Linked DNA regions of Macaca fascicularis. The protein of the gene in region 2 interacts with the protein of the main gene of each other region in a biochemical or structural test. Links are inferred from orthologs where the notes say so. Each region holds a gene or a part of one and is shown on either strand. Other genes may lie near its edges.

The links.
Region 1: the proteins of GNAZ (region 2) and LRRK1 form a complex in vitro, tested with the Homo sapiens proteins (2 studies listed by BioGRID and IntAct, with this or other methods). The link is inferred for Macaca fascicularis from reciprocal best matches to the Homo sapiens genes GNAZ and LRRK1.
Region 3: the proteins of GNAZ (region 2) and RGS20 form a complex in vitro, tested with the Homo sapiens proteins (2 studies listed by BioGRID, with this or other methods). The link is inferred for Macaca fascicularis from reciprocal best matches to the Homo sapiens genes GNAZ and RGS20.

Annotation. Positions count from the first base shown.
Region 1 is NC_088381.1:86,090,906-86,096,991, forward strand, and holds part of LRRK1 (leucine-rich repeat serine/threonine-protein kinase 1), read left to right. Parts: intron 1-459; exon of another isoform or gene 460-462; coding exon 463-627; intron 628-1,624; coding exon 1,625-1,797; intron 1,798-2,897; coding exon 2,898-3,018; intron 3,019-3,263; coding exon 3,264-3,423; intron 3,424-4,574; coding exon 4,575-4,851; intron 4,852-6,086.
Region 2 is NC_088384.1:29,607,300-29,610,799, forward strand, and holds part of GNAZ (guanine nucleotide-binding protein G(z) subunit alpha), read right to left. Parts: intron 3,226-3,500; 5' UTR 2,777-3,225; coding exon 2,054-2,776; intron 1-2,053. UniProt on the Homo sapiens protein: Guanine nucleotide-binding proteins (G proteins) are involved as modulators or transducers in various transmembrane signaling systems.
Region 3 is NC_088382.1:63,916,607-63,922,692, reverse strand, and holds part of RGS20 (regulator of G-protein signaling 20), read right to left. Parts: intron 3,246-6,086; coding exon 3,097-3,245; intron 1-3,096. UniProt on the Homo sapiens protein: Inhibits signal transduction by increasing the GTPase activity of G protein alpha subunits thereby driving them into their inactive GDP-bound form.

The DNA.
Region 1 (6,086 bases), on a different chromosome or scaffold from region 2:
TTTTGTTTGATTCCCACAGGGTGGGAGGGAGTTTCCCAGCATCCTTGGTGGGCGCCAACCTCTGACCCCCACAAGTTCAGAGGCCCATCTCCTCCTCTTGCCCTGGCACACAGGGAGGCTGAACCCCAGTGCAAGCCATGACATCAGAGCACAGCTTCCTCCCACAGGGCATCCCCTACCCATCTGCAGGCCAGACGGAGCCAGGCCCTCTGACGTCTGTCCAGGGCCTGGCCTCTGCTCTGCTAGGAGTAGACAGAAGTCCCACTCCCATGCCACTGGGCCCCTGTCCCTCGCCCCGATAACTGCTTCCTAAGAAACTATAGGGTGTCCAGAACTTTTCCACGGTTGTTTTTTTTTCAGACCCCCAAGTACAGCTTCCAGAGTTATCAGTTGTCTCTCTTTGATTGACTGAAGCCTTTGTCTCTAAAATGCCTCCCTGTCACTGCCCTGTTGCTCAAGTAGGTTGAGTCTGTGGAGTTCAACGTCTGGGACATCGGGGGACCGGCCAGCATGGCCACTGTCAACCAGTGCTTCTTCACAGACAAGGCCCTGTATGTGGTGGTCTGGAACCTGGCACTGGGGGAGGAGGCCGTGGCCAACCTCCAGTTCTGGCTGCTCAACATCGAGGTGAGGACACCAGACGCCAGCCCCGCCATTTCAGTTCCCAGAGCTTCGCAGATCCGACTGCTTTTCTCAAGCATCCCCTCTACTGAGAAAAAAAGGAGCTGTGTTCCACGGAGGTCCCCAGAACCGTGGTCCTGCTTGCTTTTCGCAATGAGGCACTTGAAACCTTTCTCTGCTGAGGGCTGGTGGTGCTCTTGTAATTTCCCTGCTTTCCTTAAATTTAGGAACCCCCACCCTTGGATCCAAAGGGGAGCAGGGTTCTCTTCCCGTTATAAAGATGTCCTTGTCTCCCTGCCTCTGATGGCTGCTGTCATGTCTGAAGGGTCGGAAATCCCTTCTCACAAGTCCAACTCAGCACCCTCTGCAGAGGAGGTCCCAGAACACCATAGACACCCCTCAATGCAACGGTCCCTCGGGGTTTACAGAGAATGAGGAGCACAGGTGCTGCCTGGGCTGACATTCCTATAGCAGTCTGTTTTGCATTACTATAAAGGAATGACTGAGACTGAGTAATTTATGAAGAAAAGAGGTTTATTTGGCTCACAGTTCCACAGACTATACAAGCATGGCTTCAGCATCTGCTTGGCTTTTGGTTAGGCCTCAGGAAGTTTTTAGTCATGGCAGAAGAGAAGGAGAGCCAGCATGTTACATGGTGAGAGAGGGAGCAGGAGAGAGAGGAGGAAGAGCCAGGCTCCTTTTCACAATCAGCTCCTCTGTGAACTGACATAGGGTGAATGCATTCATTACTGCAGGAGGGCACCAAGCCATTCATGAGGGATCTACCTCCATGACCCAACCTACCATCAGGCCTCACCTCCAACACTGGGGATCACATTTCAACATAAGATTTGGAGGAGAAAAACATCCAAACCATCTCAAGGCTGCAGATTGGTGGCTGAGCAAGGGCTGTGGCATCCGGGGTCAGCACAGCTGGGAGCTCTGTCCTGTCCCTTGTTCAGTGAACAGAGACGATACTCAGCCGTGGGGTTCTCTGTTGCAGGCCAAGGCCCCAAATGCCGTGGTGCTGGTGGTCGGGACACACCTGGATTTAATTGAAGCCAAGTTCCGTGTGGAAAGGATTGCAACGCTGCGTGCCTATGTGCTGGCGCTCTGCCGCTCCCCCTCCGGCTCCAGGGCCACAGGCTTCCCAGACATCACCTTCAAACACTTACAGTGAGTGCCCAGCCTCTAGCAGCTCCCGCCTTCATGTGGGTGCCAGTCGCTGATCCTTCCTGGGATCTGCTTACAGAGAGCTCCTGAGGCTGGGTGGGGCTAGGCCCCTTCCCTGGCCAAGGGGGGGCAGTCCACAGAGCTGACCCAGCCTTGGAGAGGGTGAAGACCTACCAGACAGCTGGCTGGGTGAGGCCTGGAGATGCCCCCTCTTTGCTTCCTTTCTGCCCTGTCCCCGCCCCAAGGGCCAGTGCTGAAACTGCATGGTGCCCATTGAACCAGGTGACTGAACATGGGCACCACCCATCCAATTGCTGCCCATCTCATTTTTTGATCACTGATCAAGGACAGACCCTGGGGAGGGAGGACCTAGCCCTTGCCTTTGGTCTGAGTGGTCCTGATAGCAGCCTTTGAGTTAAAAAAGGCCAAGAGTTGGGAGGGGCTTTCGGGTGGGCATCACGACGTGTCCATGCAGATAAGTTCAATTGCCCTGGGCTGACCTCCTGTCACTGGTTGTGGGGATTGTTTGCCACCTTGTAGATGAAGAAGCTGAGGTTCAGCAAATTGTGTGCCCTAATGGGAGTAAAATATACTGCACATTGCATTAGCTGCCCTGGCAGCTCTCAGATTCCCTCGCCCGGGGTGGAGCGTCATGGGTATTGGTGCGTGGGTCAGCCTGGGACACATTGGCCTGGCTCGGAATACGGGATGAGGCTGTCAGGAATTATTGCTTTGACCTTGAGAAAGTCCCATAGGGTCTGTGATAAGAGGAGCCCTGGCTCTGGGTCAGAACCTGAGACCAGCCTGCGTGAGCCTGTGCCTGCCCAGCTTGTGCCCTTGGGGGTCTCAATGTACCTCTGCACCTCACTTTCCTTCTCTGTGAAGTGCCATGTTTGGTCTAGGAAGACAGACTAAAGCGACAGTGTGGGGCACCCAGCACAGTGATTTGCACAAAGCAAGGCCTCAGTAAACTTCTTGTGTTGTCTTTCATGAGTTCTCCAGACTTGCCAGCATTCAGGACAAACCTCTTGGGAAAACAGAGAAGCTGCAGCACTTCCTCGGAGTGGGGCACGATGAGTAAAGACGGGTCTTTTTGCACACAGTGAGATTTCCTGCAAGAGCCTGGAAGGCCAGGAAGGGCTGCGGCAGCTGATCTTCCACGTCACGTGCAGCATGAAGGACGTGGGCAGCACCATCGGCTGCCAGCGACTGGCAGGGAGGCTGGTGGGTACCTCGCTCGTCCAGCTTAAACCAGTAGGCCTGCTTCCCATTGTTGGGGATCCTCACTTCCCCTCTCTCCTGTGAAGCCCATGTCCATGTGGCAAGGCTCAGTCGTTCTTGGTGAGGGAGGGTCAGGATGGAAGATAGTGGGTGGAAATGTCCCACCCACTCAGGCCACAGGGGCCAGGCAGGATCTGCCCCAGCTGGCGGGCATGCCTCGGGAATTGCCTCGTCCGTCTGTCCCCCAGATCCCCAGGAGCTACCTGAGTCTGCAGGAGGCCGTGCTGGCAGAGCAGCAGCGCCGCAGCCTGGACGACGACGTGCAGTACCTGACGGACAGGCAGCTGGAGCAGCTGGTGGAGCAGACGCCCGACAATGACATCAAAGACTACGAGGACCTGCAGTCGGGTGGGTGGGGCTGGGGTGGGCGGCAGGGTGCCCGTGAGAAATGGAACTGTCTGTACTTCAGCCTGGCCCTCAGCAATGAATGAGAGACCGATAATCAGCCTGTGTTTCTGTCTTCCATCCCCCTCCCCTTCCTTCTTCCCTCTCACCCTTCTTTCCTTGGAGGTAGAGAACACAAACAGCTACTCTACACCAGCATTGTGTTGGCCACAAGGGCAGACATATAAACTGATGGACTGGTCCATGCCCTCCAGGGCTGACGTTCAGTCAGGGAGACAGAGGTCAAACAGTTACAATCGATTCTCATTAGCCACAGGACTTATGTTCTGTAAAGTCACCATGATCACTGAAATAGCAAATACTAAACCAGTGCTCCTAGGAGAGACGCAGGGTTCAGCTCCTGCAAGCCTCTGGTCAGAACATTCTCATCAGCCCATCAATACAGAACCTTGTTTTATGTGTGTTGCTGCTTAAAGACACTGTACTTAATATATAGTGTTGATTTGTTGGCATTGAACTCATGGTTAACAGTACTGTTGCTCATTCCTGAACAAAACTTATCTAACACACAGGTTTTCTCCATAAGGCACATCGCAGCCTTCTCACGCTTAGGGAACTACACAGCGCTTCAGCACTTCACTTGGGACCATTTTAAACAGTGAAAGCATCAACAAAAAGCACAAAAATTCAAAAAACATGGCACTGACATAGACCACTAAGCAGGCCCCTGTTTTCAGCACGAGAGTTGAGAGTGTTGCCCTGTTCAGCCTCCGCTGGGAATGTGCACATTGGTCAATGCAAACTTTTCACCACTCAGCACATGTCTGCAAATAACCACAGGAGCATTGATTTGGGGGTCGCAGATAAATTTTAGTAAGAAGGCAAATTTGCAAAGGCGGAATCCACAAATAATGAGGATCAACTGTAGTTACCGAGGTGGCCATTAGCCTAGGACTTTGGCAAGAGTTACCAGGGGCCACCAGGGCACCTGTGATCAGGCTGCCAACCCACCTGAAGGGTCCAGCATGTGGGGCATGTTGGTTTCTTCCTAGGAAGAATTTGTGACCTGGGTCCCCTTGGAAAGTAAGGCCACCCCAGAGTCCCTTTCGCTCCTTTGTCTAACTGCTGCTTCCTCCTCTCCTTGCCTGGGGCAGCCATCAGCTTCCTCATAGAAACTGGCACCCTGCTACACTTCCCAGACACCAGCCACGGCCTGAGGAACCTCTACTTCCTCGACCCTATTTGGCTGTCCGAATGTCTGCAGAGGATCTTTAACATTAAGGGCTCCCGGTCAGTGGCCAAGAATGGGGTGATCAGAGCAGAAGACCTCAGGATGCTACTGGTGGGGACTGGCTTCACACAGCAGACGGAAGAGCAGTACTTCCAGTTCCTGGCCAAGTTTGAGATCGCCCTGCCCGTCGCCAATGACAGGTGAGGATACAACTTACCATGCCAGGCTGTGCAGGTTGCTCCCCGAAAGAGGGATTTGGGGTCTGGAGCCACTGGTGGCCTGAACAAGATTTCCAGGGATCAGTGCTGCCACTGCTGCCCCCTAGGGACAGGCCAGCACCTGATGACCTGCTTGCCTGGCCTGGGTCAGCGGGACAGTGAGCACAGCTGGCCACTCCCTCCTGTGCCCCGGGGTTCTCTGTTCAGGGAGTTAAAAGAAATCCACTTATTGAAAAAGTGTAGGAAAACGTGAAAGGATGTCATTAAAAATAATTTGTGGGAATTTCACTTTACAGAGGCTTGATTGCTTGGTTATTTGGTAAATGAGAATGAGTGGCCAGTTAGGTGGCTCACACCTGTAATCCCAACTCTTTGGGAGGCCGAGGCGGCCAGATCAATTGAGGTCAGGAGTTCAAGACCAGCCTGACCAATATGGTGAAACCCCGTTTCTACTAAAAATACAAAAATCAGCCAGGCGTGGCAGTGTGTGCCTGTAATCCTAGCTACTTGGGAGACTGAAGCAGGAGAATTGCTTGAACCCAGGAGGCAGAGGTTGCAGTGAACAGAGATCACACCTCTGCACTCCAGCCTGGGCAACAGAGCGAGACTCCTCAAAAAAAAAAAGAGTGACTGACTAGGATGTACGTGCTAATTACACAGCCTAGTTCAAAATGCAGTCCAACATGATTAAATCATGAGAGCAACATGATCAACTACTCCAGGGTGGATGGTCCGAGGGTCAAATAGAGGCACTCCATATAGTAGCTAATCATCGCCTCTTTCTGTGGACTTCTCCTGGATCTTTAACATACCCAGGCCTCACCAGTCCTAAACTGCAAACAAAACAAATGAGCCTCTCTCCTCCTTTTCCTCCTTTCCTTGCTCCCCAGCATCTGCTGCTCCTCATCACTTTGTGCTGGTGGCCAGGCAGCCCTCTAGGTGCCCCCAGGTACCCCTCCTGTCCTCTGCTGACCCTACCCCAAGTACTGACCCTCCCCTCTGGAGGGCCTTCTCCATGAGGGGACCCTGCCACCCTCCCTTCCAGCCTCCAGTGTCCTCAGCAGGCCCCTCCCCTGCACTTTGCCCAAGCCATCAATTCAGCTGCCTTGGTCCTCCATGCCCCAAAGGAAGAATTCCCAGATTTTCAGCAGGGCCCAGCATCCAGAGGCTCAGGCCTGGGCTTCCAAATTGCTCCCACCTGGAAATCTGGCATGGCG
Region 2 (3,500 bases):
CCCAGGGACAGCCCTGGGAGAGGGAAGACTAGAGATGCGAGGGCCCACAGCGGCCCCCAGCCCATCCAGGGCCTGCCCTGAGGAGCTCACTCACACATTACTAGATAGAGGGGTGTAGAGGTGCCAGGCTAGGTTAGAAAAGGCCTCCCAGGAGGCGCCACTTGGGATAAGACCTGAAGGATAAGGGCAGGGGGGTGAGAGGCAGGTATCAGGATCGTTACAAGCCTAAGGCTGGACAGAGCAATATTGCTGGAGCAAAACATGTTGACCACGGCTGGAGCAGAAGGAGAGAAGAGAGAGGCAGCAAGGTGGGAGGCACAGGCCAGGCAGAGCTGAGAGGGCTGTGGGCAGGCAAAGGCCTAGCCTTGGGCCCATCTGTGAAGACACCTGGGTCATCTCCTCACTGACAAGTTCAGAAAGCAAAGGTAACAGCCGAAGCCCTCCATGAAACATTGGACCAACTCAAGGCCCAGGTATCCTGCCTCCTGGGTCCAGCACACCTGCGGGCACAGCCGGTCAAAGGATGCAACTGGGAGCCAGGCCTGGTGTCTGGGGAATTTGCCATGCCTGCCACTGAGTTGATGGATGAGGCCAGTGGTGCAAGCCCGTGTGACTGGCAGCTGCAGGGTGGCTGGCAGACCCACCATGGCACTGTCCCAGGGGTCCAGCCTGAGCACCTCATTTTGCCTTGCAGCTTCTCAGCCCCAAGGCCTCTGCCCATGGCCATGCCTCATCAAGGGAGCCTGACCTCACTCATCTGCTGGGATGTCCCCTCTGCCCAGAACCACACATGGGGCTGAACTGGGGGCAACCATAGGGTAAGGGGCAGAACCCTGGAGAGCACACAGATACACACTGGGAGCAGGGTGGATGCAGCCGCCTGTGTACACACCTGCCTGCCCATCCATCATTCGTTTCCCCCAGGCATGCCATCAACACGTAGGCACAGTTCCAGGGAGAGCCCTGAAGCGAGGAGTGGAGGGAGGCAAGCCTGCCTCCCCAGCTGCCTGATGAAAGCCGAAGATCCTCTCTCAGAACACTCAGGCTCCTAGCACCATGGCCACAGCCTGGAGCTGTCCAGTTTCCCTGGCTGGGGCACAGGGCCAAAGCTAGAACCATTGTTGCTCTCGGCTGAACCCAAAGAATAAAGCTTGCCTTAGGACTGGGTGAAGCAAGGAGTGACCTCAGAGGCCAGTGCTCCCAAGTGGGAGGCTGGGCCCTTGTCTCCCAGTATCACCCTCCGCTAGCCCCAGGGCACCCACAACTTCATGACTCCTTGTTTGCCCCCACTATCCCATCCCCAGGGTCAAAGGCCTCTCTCTTAAGGAGAGACTTGAAATCTGTGCTCAGGGCGTCCTGCTGGGCAAGACAGCCCCTCCCTTGTCTGCCACAGCCTCTACCACTGCCACTCCTGGCTGTGGCCCCCTTCGTGTGCTAGACCTTCTGTATTGGCTGGGCCTGAGCACACTGCTCCACTGCTTCACCTGGCTCCCCACTCTCTCCAGCAACTCCACTCTCAAGCCCCCAGTGCTTGGCACTGGGCCCAGGTCTCCCTCGGGCTGTGCCCATGCCACTGTGAAAGAATCCCAACACCTGCTTTCACGTCGTCCCCTTTCCACCAGGACCTGGCTTATCCCTTCTAAAGAGCTCTTAACCCCATCTCTGCCAGACTCTCAGGCTCAAGATGGGGTTGCGGGGCTGGCTGCTGTTCCTGGACCTACATGCTGGTAGGAGACTGGTGCTGGCAGGAGCTTCATGGATTTGCCAAACTATCACACGGACTGACCACGGATGCCCGGCGGAGCCTCACACTCTCTTGCCCTGTGGCCTCCACACCCTGAGTACTTCAGGCATGGGACATGACACCTGCACTCCACACCCTGTTCCCTCTGCCCCCACCTTGCTGGAGCCGCCTCAGTTATCGTGCAGCAGGGCCAGGCCTGCGCCTGGTTCCCTTTCTGGCTGCGGACGGTCCTGGACCTCGCGAGTCCTCTTGCTTCCAAGAACCCGTGACAGCAGGAACAAGCAGAGGAAAACCCCCGGCCCCACTTACTGTCTGGTTATCCTCGTAGAGTTTCAGGTCGTAGCCGCTGAGCTCCACACAGAAGATGATGGCTGTGACGCCCTCGAAGCAGTGGATCCACTTTTTGCGCTCTGACCTCTGCCCCCCCACGTCCACCATCTTGAAGGTGAGCTCCTTGAAGGTGAACTTGTTCTCCACGATGCCCGTGGTCATGTCCCGGGAGCGCAGGATGTCCTCGACAGTAGGGATGTAGTCAGCTGCGGCAATGCGCTCCAGGTCGTTCAGGTAGTAGGCCGCGTTGTCCTCCAGGTGATACTCGCTGGAGCGGCTGAAGCAGGCCTGTGCCCCTGGGTCGGCCCAGAGCCGCCGCATGACGCCCAGCAGCTCGGGTGTGATCTCGCCCTTGCTCTCAGCGGGGCCTGTCAGCGCGAAGAGCTGCACAGCGTCGTAGGCGCGGTCGGGGTTGTGGAAATCGATCCTGAGGGCGGCCAGGGCCCGGATGATGCGGGTCAGCGAGTCGATGGCGTTGTAGATGATGAGGGGCTTGTACTCCTTGCAGGCCTCCAGGTTGAAGCCGCCGCTGTGGATGATCTTCATCTGTTTGACGATGGTGCTCTTGCCTGAGTTGCTGGTGCCCAGCAGGAGCAGCTTGATCTCGCGGCGCTGTCGTTGGCTCTCTGAGCGCAGGTGGCGGTCAATTCTCCGGGACCGCCGGGCTGCTTCTTTTTCCTCTGAGCTTTGCCGACATCCCATGGTCTGGCAGCAGCGGGCCCAGACAAGGAGCACGGGACGGGGCGCCTCTCCCTCTTACCACAGGGGACGCTGAGACCAGGCAGACGAGAGCCCAGCTGCCCTGGAGGCACTCAGTGCCAGCAGGGGGGTGAGGCCGAGCCACACTGCAGCCCCTGCCCCAGTGCTTCTTCTCCAGCCGGCATGGCGCTCTGTGCAGCGGGCGGCGGCCGCCCCTCCCCACTAGTGACACTCCACCTCCCTAGTCAGCAAAGTGGCCTGATTTGCCGTAGTCATTCCCTGTCCTCAGCGACGGTGGGAAGCCGTCCGCTTGTGTCTGCCTCGGCTGCTGCCGTCTGGTTGCTGGTTGCTGTGGCGATGTTGCTGAGTGGTTGGAGGGTTGGAGGGCTGGTCACTGCTGTGCTCCCTGCAGCCCCCCGCCTCCGGCTCCCACTGTGCATCCAGCCCTTCACCTGCCAAACACAGAGAAGAGTGTGAGCCTCCTCCCTGTGGCCCCACCTCAGGCTGGACAGTGAAAGGGAGCTCTTCTGAAAGCCAAGCAGCAGAGACTGGCCTTGGAAAATGAGCCGGCAACAATCCATCCGACCCCCTCTCCTCCATGGGGCACTGCAGGGTCCACACCACGGTGTAACACGTGTGTCTGCTGCTGCCTGGACAGTCTGCCTGAAGCCAGGTGCATGAGGGAGAGGAGGGTGTGTGCGAGGCCTCTGCCCACCCAGCCCCCATG
Region 3 (6,086 bases), on a different chromosome or scaffold from region 2:
GAGTGGTATAACTATTGCCATGATGTTGGAACATTTCATCATCCCCAGAAAGAACTCTACACATTAGCAGTAACTCCATCTTCCTTACTCATAGGCAACTGCTAATCTACTTTCTGTCTCTTTGAATTTACCTATTCTGGACGTTTCATGTAAGTGGAATAATAAAATATGTGGTCTTTCATATCTAGTTTCTTTCACTTAGCATAATGTTTTCACAGTTCATGCTATATTTTGGCGGTGTCAAGGCTTCATTCTTTTTTTTTTTTTTTTCCGATACAGAGTTTCGCTCTTATTGCCCAGGCTGGAGTGCAATGGTGCAATCTCAGCTCATTGCAGCCTCCATCTCCTGGGTTCAAGTGATTCTCCCACCTCAGCTTCCCAAGTAGCTGGGATTACAAGCATGCACCACCATGCCTGGCTAATTTTTTGTATTTTTTTTTAGTACAGACGGGGTTTCACCATGTTAACCAGGCTGGTCCTGAACTCCTGACCTCAGGTGATCCGCCCACCTCGGCTTCCCAAAGTGCTGGGTCACTCATTCCCTTTTTTTTTTTCTTTTTTTTTTGAGATGGAGTCTCACTGCTGCCCAGGCTGGAGTGCAGTGGCGTAATCTTGGCTCACTGCAACCTCCGCCCCCTGGGTTCAAGTAATTCTCCTGCCTCAGCTTCCCGAGTAGCTGGGATTACAGGTGCCTGCCACCGTGCCTGACTAATTGTTGTATTTTTAGTAGAAACGGGGTTTCACCATGTTGTCCGGGGTGGTCTTGATCTCTTGATCGGCCTGCCTTGTGATCCTCCTGCGTCGGCCTCCCAAAGTGCTGGGATTACAGGCGTGAGCCACCGCACCCAGCTGATCTTTTTTTAAAGGTGGGAATTGATTTTTGTACATGGTGCTATGTAGGAATATAAATATATTTTTATATATTTGGATACCAAGCAGGATGACCAATTTTCCTGGTTTGCCTAGCGTTTTCAGGTTTTCTGGGCTGTGGGACTTTTCAGTGCTAAAACTGAGAAAATCCTATCAGTGGGGATGAGTTGGTACCCAAACACCAAGTATCCTGCTATTTACTGAATAGTTCATTTTCTCCTTTGCTGATGCCACTTTTGTCACGTGTTGGTAAGGTTTTCTAGATTTATTGTCTTTCACTGATGTTAAAACGATAGGGTGTATTTTTGGACTAATTATGAATAACATTGCTTTTGAAAGAAAATTTTCTTATAACAATTTTTTCTAAGAAAGTCTGAATTATTTGATTTCTCTGTCATTGACATGAGACTGTTTACAGCTTTGGTTTCACACTTTTTTAACACAAAATTCAGTGCCACATTTTATATCAATATTTGACCCCGTTGTAGCTACAACTGTTACTTGTTTCCTGGGTCTTTCCTCTGGGTTCCCTTTTATCCCTCTGAACTAGGCCCTTTCTTCAGTTCTTTTAGGTTTGCAGGCAGTAAACTTGGTTGGCCTTCGTATGTCTGAGAATGTCTTATTTTACCCACACTCTTGAATTATGGTTTGACTTAGTTTTCAGTTACTTTTCTCCAGCACTTTGAAGACATTGCTCTATTGTCTCTTCTACACACACCTAAGTGCTACAGAAGTGTTGGCTATGGTGGTGATGATAGTGTCTAGGTACAGATTATTTTATTTGTCCTACTTGTTACCTGTAGGAGGAGCCTGCTCTGGGACGTGCCCCGCCCTCTAGCCTTACACTATCCCGGGACAATATGCTGTTCAGGTCAGCATGTCAGCCGCCTCCCACACCCTGCGCACGAGGCAGCAGAGAAAGGAGGGGAAGGTTTGAACATCAGCTGGAGTCTCACCTGCACTCGGACATCCTGCACATCTCTAGGAGGATCGTCTCGTTTCTGCACTGAGACCTACTGGCAGATTGAGAATATAGGCCCCTAAACGCAGTCTGGCCACCACTAGTGTCTTCCTCCTCTAGGGCAGGCCCTGGACACCCACGCATCTCCTCTGCCCACCACCAGCGCCTCTCCTCTGGCTTCCTGCAGAGCTGTCCAGAGTCCTACCAGGGCTGAAGTCTCACCTTGACACTGCCTAGCTGTCAGCCCCGGCCACATGTTTCCTCTTGCTGTGGGAATGAAGAGACCATCAGTATCGGGATCCCCCTGGTGGATGTTCTACTGCTGTGTCCCTTCCACCAGATTGGAACTTCTTGGAAATGAATAGTAGCCTGAGTTGGGCAGGAGCCACCAAACTTCCCCGGGCATTTCATTTTCAGCCTCCAATCTCCTTCCCGGGGATCAGTTCTGTTAGTTCCATTTCGCGGTCCGTGATCAGTCCAATATCAGTTTTTCTTCTTTTCCACAGGACAGTGAGGTCTTGGTCTAACTTATTGCCAAGCCTACATAAATTTAGGATGATTTGATTGCCGAAAATGGTTCACAGATTTGGCTGGCACTAAGCACTTTTCATATCCAAGATTCCAAAGATGTAACTTAAAGTTCCCATGATTTTTAGGTGTAAATTATCCCTTTTCTCCAGACCTTTAACAGCTACTCAAAGGGTCACGGATGTTTTACATCGTTTTTAAAGCAATGACTGTCTGTGTGTCTTTCTCTACCCAGTAAGTTAGCATATATTTTAATATTTGTCTCTATTTGAAACACATATTTTGACATTTCTCTTTATTACAAAACAAAATTTATGAAATGGAAGCAGCAGAAGGTAAAATCCAGGCTCCCTTTACTTCATCGTCCTAACCTTTAAGACCCATCTTAGATCCTAAGCCTTCATTACCCCAGGAGAGCCCCTAGTTCAATTCTTTCTAACCATTTCTGCCCAAATGTTGATAGTCAATCGTGAACCGCCGGAGGTTGTTCTTTAGTTGTTTAACACACGGTGGCCTGATTTGAGGGATCTGAGCATAAGCCCCTTAAGAGGTAGTCAGATGTAGCCTGTTGTTATTTCTGGGGTGTCCCTCTGTGTCAGGCATATAGTAGCTGCTTAAAAAACACTTACTGAATTAACCGTAAGCTACCACCACTATTCACAGGTGCCACTTCCCAGTCAGGAGCACATTACACTTCCCAGTCAGGGGCACATTAATTAAAAAGTCTGAAACCTTACCATGAGCAGCTACAACAGCAGCACCAGCAGAAGCAGCATGCGTTGGACCCGCGACTCCCCGCTCCTGGCTGGCCTGGGGCGGCGCCTGGTGCGTCCTGGGCCAGGGGCATCTGCCGCTTCCGCATCTCCATCCGCTCTGATCCCATCGGCTGCAAGAGGGAGAGGAACAAAGCGGGAGGGGGTTCCAGCGTTATGAAGGCGTAAGCCCAGGGAGTCAGCTGTCTGGATCATTGAACAGATACAGTGCGACTATATTCAGGTCATTTTTGCTACTTCTCGTAAAATTTAGTGCTTAGAATCTTAGGATCAATTAATGTATCCAACATGTAATGCTTATCCTCTGCCAAGCACTGAGATACATTCCAGGGATAAACTGGCAGATGGAAGGCCCCGCCTGAGGCGCTCACAGTTCAGTAAAGGAGACAGAAACGCACACGCACTGAAGACTCCGCAGGCAGTGCTATGCAGGGCCGCTCCCAGCTCCAGGCATCCCTGTGGCCTGAACCAAAGGGGGGCAGGCATGGTGGCAGCTTCATGACGCTGCCCGTGAGGCCAACACGCAAATATGGGAGGAGGTCAACATGGGAAGGGCGGCCCGGCTAATACAGCGACTGAGGAGAGGTCAGAAGAGGAGTCCTGGAGGCCAGAGTGGCCCGAGTCACATCTTTCCTAGCTGCGTCACCTTGCAGAAGTGATCGAAATTGGGATGCGGAAGCATTCAGAACCCTGCCTGGTATAGAGCAATTGCTCAATTATTCCCAGGAAGCCAGGCAGGAGAGCCAGACTGTGGCCTGCCCAGACCTGTCTTGCCATCAGGGACGGTCACCCTCACCTACTTCAGTGGAGGCCAAGCCATACGACACAAAAGATCTGTGCCCTTCAGCCTCTGCCCTGTTGTTGGGGACTCCAAGACTGTGAAAGAAGAGAGATATAGAAGCAGCAAGAGAAGCAAGAAATTGCTAAGCCCATTATACGTTGGATACTATCACTTGATGGAGCTAATTGCAAGCTAATATCAAGGACACACACATTAAAGAACCATAGGTAGGACTTTGGAATTAATTTCTGGATCTATTATTCTATTTCAACATTAGATTTGTCTGTTCCTATTGATTATTACCTAATCCTCCATACTACTGGACTTTGTTCTAATTATTTTATTTATTTTTATTTTTTAAATTATACTTTAAGTTCTGGGATACATGTGCAGAATGTGCAGGTTTGTTACATAGGTATACACGTGCCATGGTGGTTTGCTGCATCCATCAACCCGTCATCTACATTAGGTATTTCTCCTAATGCTATCTCTCCCCTAGCCCCCCACCCCCAGATAGGCCCCAGTGTGTGATGTTCCCCTCCCTGTGTCCATGTGTTCTCATTGTTCAACTCCCACTTATGAGTGAGAACATGTGGTGTTTGGTTTTCTGTTCTTGTGTTAGTTTGCTGAGAATGATGATTTCTAGCTTCATCCATGTTCCTGCAAAGGACATGAACTCATCCTTTTTTATGACTGCATAGTATTCCACGGTGTATATGTGCCACATTTTCTTTATCCAGTCTATCATTGATGGGCATTTGGGTTGGTTCTAAGTCTTTGCTATTGTGAACAGTGCTGCAATAAACATACACGTGCATGTGTCTTTATAGTAGAATGATTTCTAATCCTTTGGGTATATACTCAGTAATAGGATTGCTGGGTCAAATGGTATTTCTGGTTCTAGATCCTTGAGGAATCGCCACACTGTCTTCCATAATGGTTGAACTAATTCACACTCCCACCAACAGTATAAAAGTGTTCCTATTTCTTCACATCCTCTCCAGCACCTGTTGTTTCCTGACTTTTTAATGATTGCGATTCTAACTGGTGTGAGATGGTATCTCATTGTGGTTTTGATTTGCATTTCTCTAATGACCAGTGATGAAGAACTTTTTTTCATATGTTTGTTGGCTGCATAAATGTCTTATTTTGAGAAGTGTCTATTCATATCCTTTGCCCACTTTTTGATGGGGTTGTTTTTTTCTTGTAAATTTAAGTTCCTTATAGATTCTGGATAATTAGCCTTTTATCAGATGGATAGATTGCAAAAATTTTCTCCCATTCTGTAGGTTGCCTGTTCACTCTGATGGTAGTTTCTTTTGCTGTGCAGAAGTCCTTTGTTTTAATTAGATCCCATGTGTCAATTTTTGCTTTTGTTGCCATTGCTTTTGGTGTTTTAGTCATGAAGTCTTTGCCCATGAGTATGTCCTTAATGGTATTGCCTAGGTTTTCTTCTAGGGTTTTTATGGTTTTAGGTCTTATGTTTAAGTCTTTAATCCATCTTGAGTTAATTTGTGTATAAGGTGTAAGGAAGGGGTCCGATTTCAGTTTTCTGCATATGGTAGCCAGTTTTCCCAACACCATTTATTAAATAGGGAATCCTTTCCCCATTCCTTGTTTTTGTCAGGTTTGTCAAAGATCAGATGGTTGTAGATGTGTGGCGTTATTTCTGAAGCCTCTGTTCTGTTCCATTGGTCTATATATCTGTTTTGGTACCAGTACCACGTTGTTTTGGTTATTGTAGCATCGTAGTATAGTTTAAAGTCAGGTAGCATGATGCCTCCAGCTTCGTTCTTTTTGCTTAGGATTGTCTTGGCTATACAAACTCCATTTTGGTTCCATATGAAATTTAAAGTAGTTTTTCCAATTCCGTGAAGAAAGTCAATGGTAGCTTGATGGAGACAGCATTGAATCTATAAATTACTTAGGGCAGTATGGCCATTTTCAGGATATTGATTCTTCCTGTCCGTGAGCATGGAATGTTTTTCCATTTGTTTGTGTCCTCTCTTATTTCCTTGAGCAGTGGTTTGTAGTTCTCCTTGAAGAGGTCCTTCACATCCCTTGTAAGTTGTATTCCTAGTATTTTATTCTCTTTGTAGCAATTGTGAATGGGAGTTCAGTCATGATTTGGCTCTCTGTATGTCTATTATTGCTGTATAGGAATGCTTGTGAT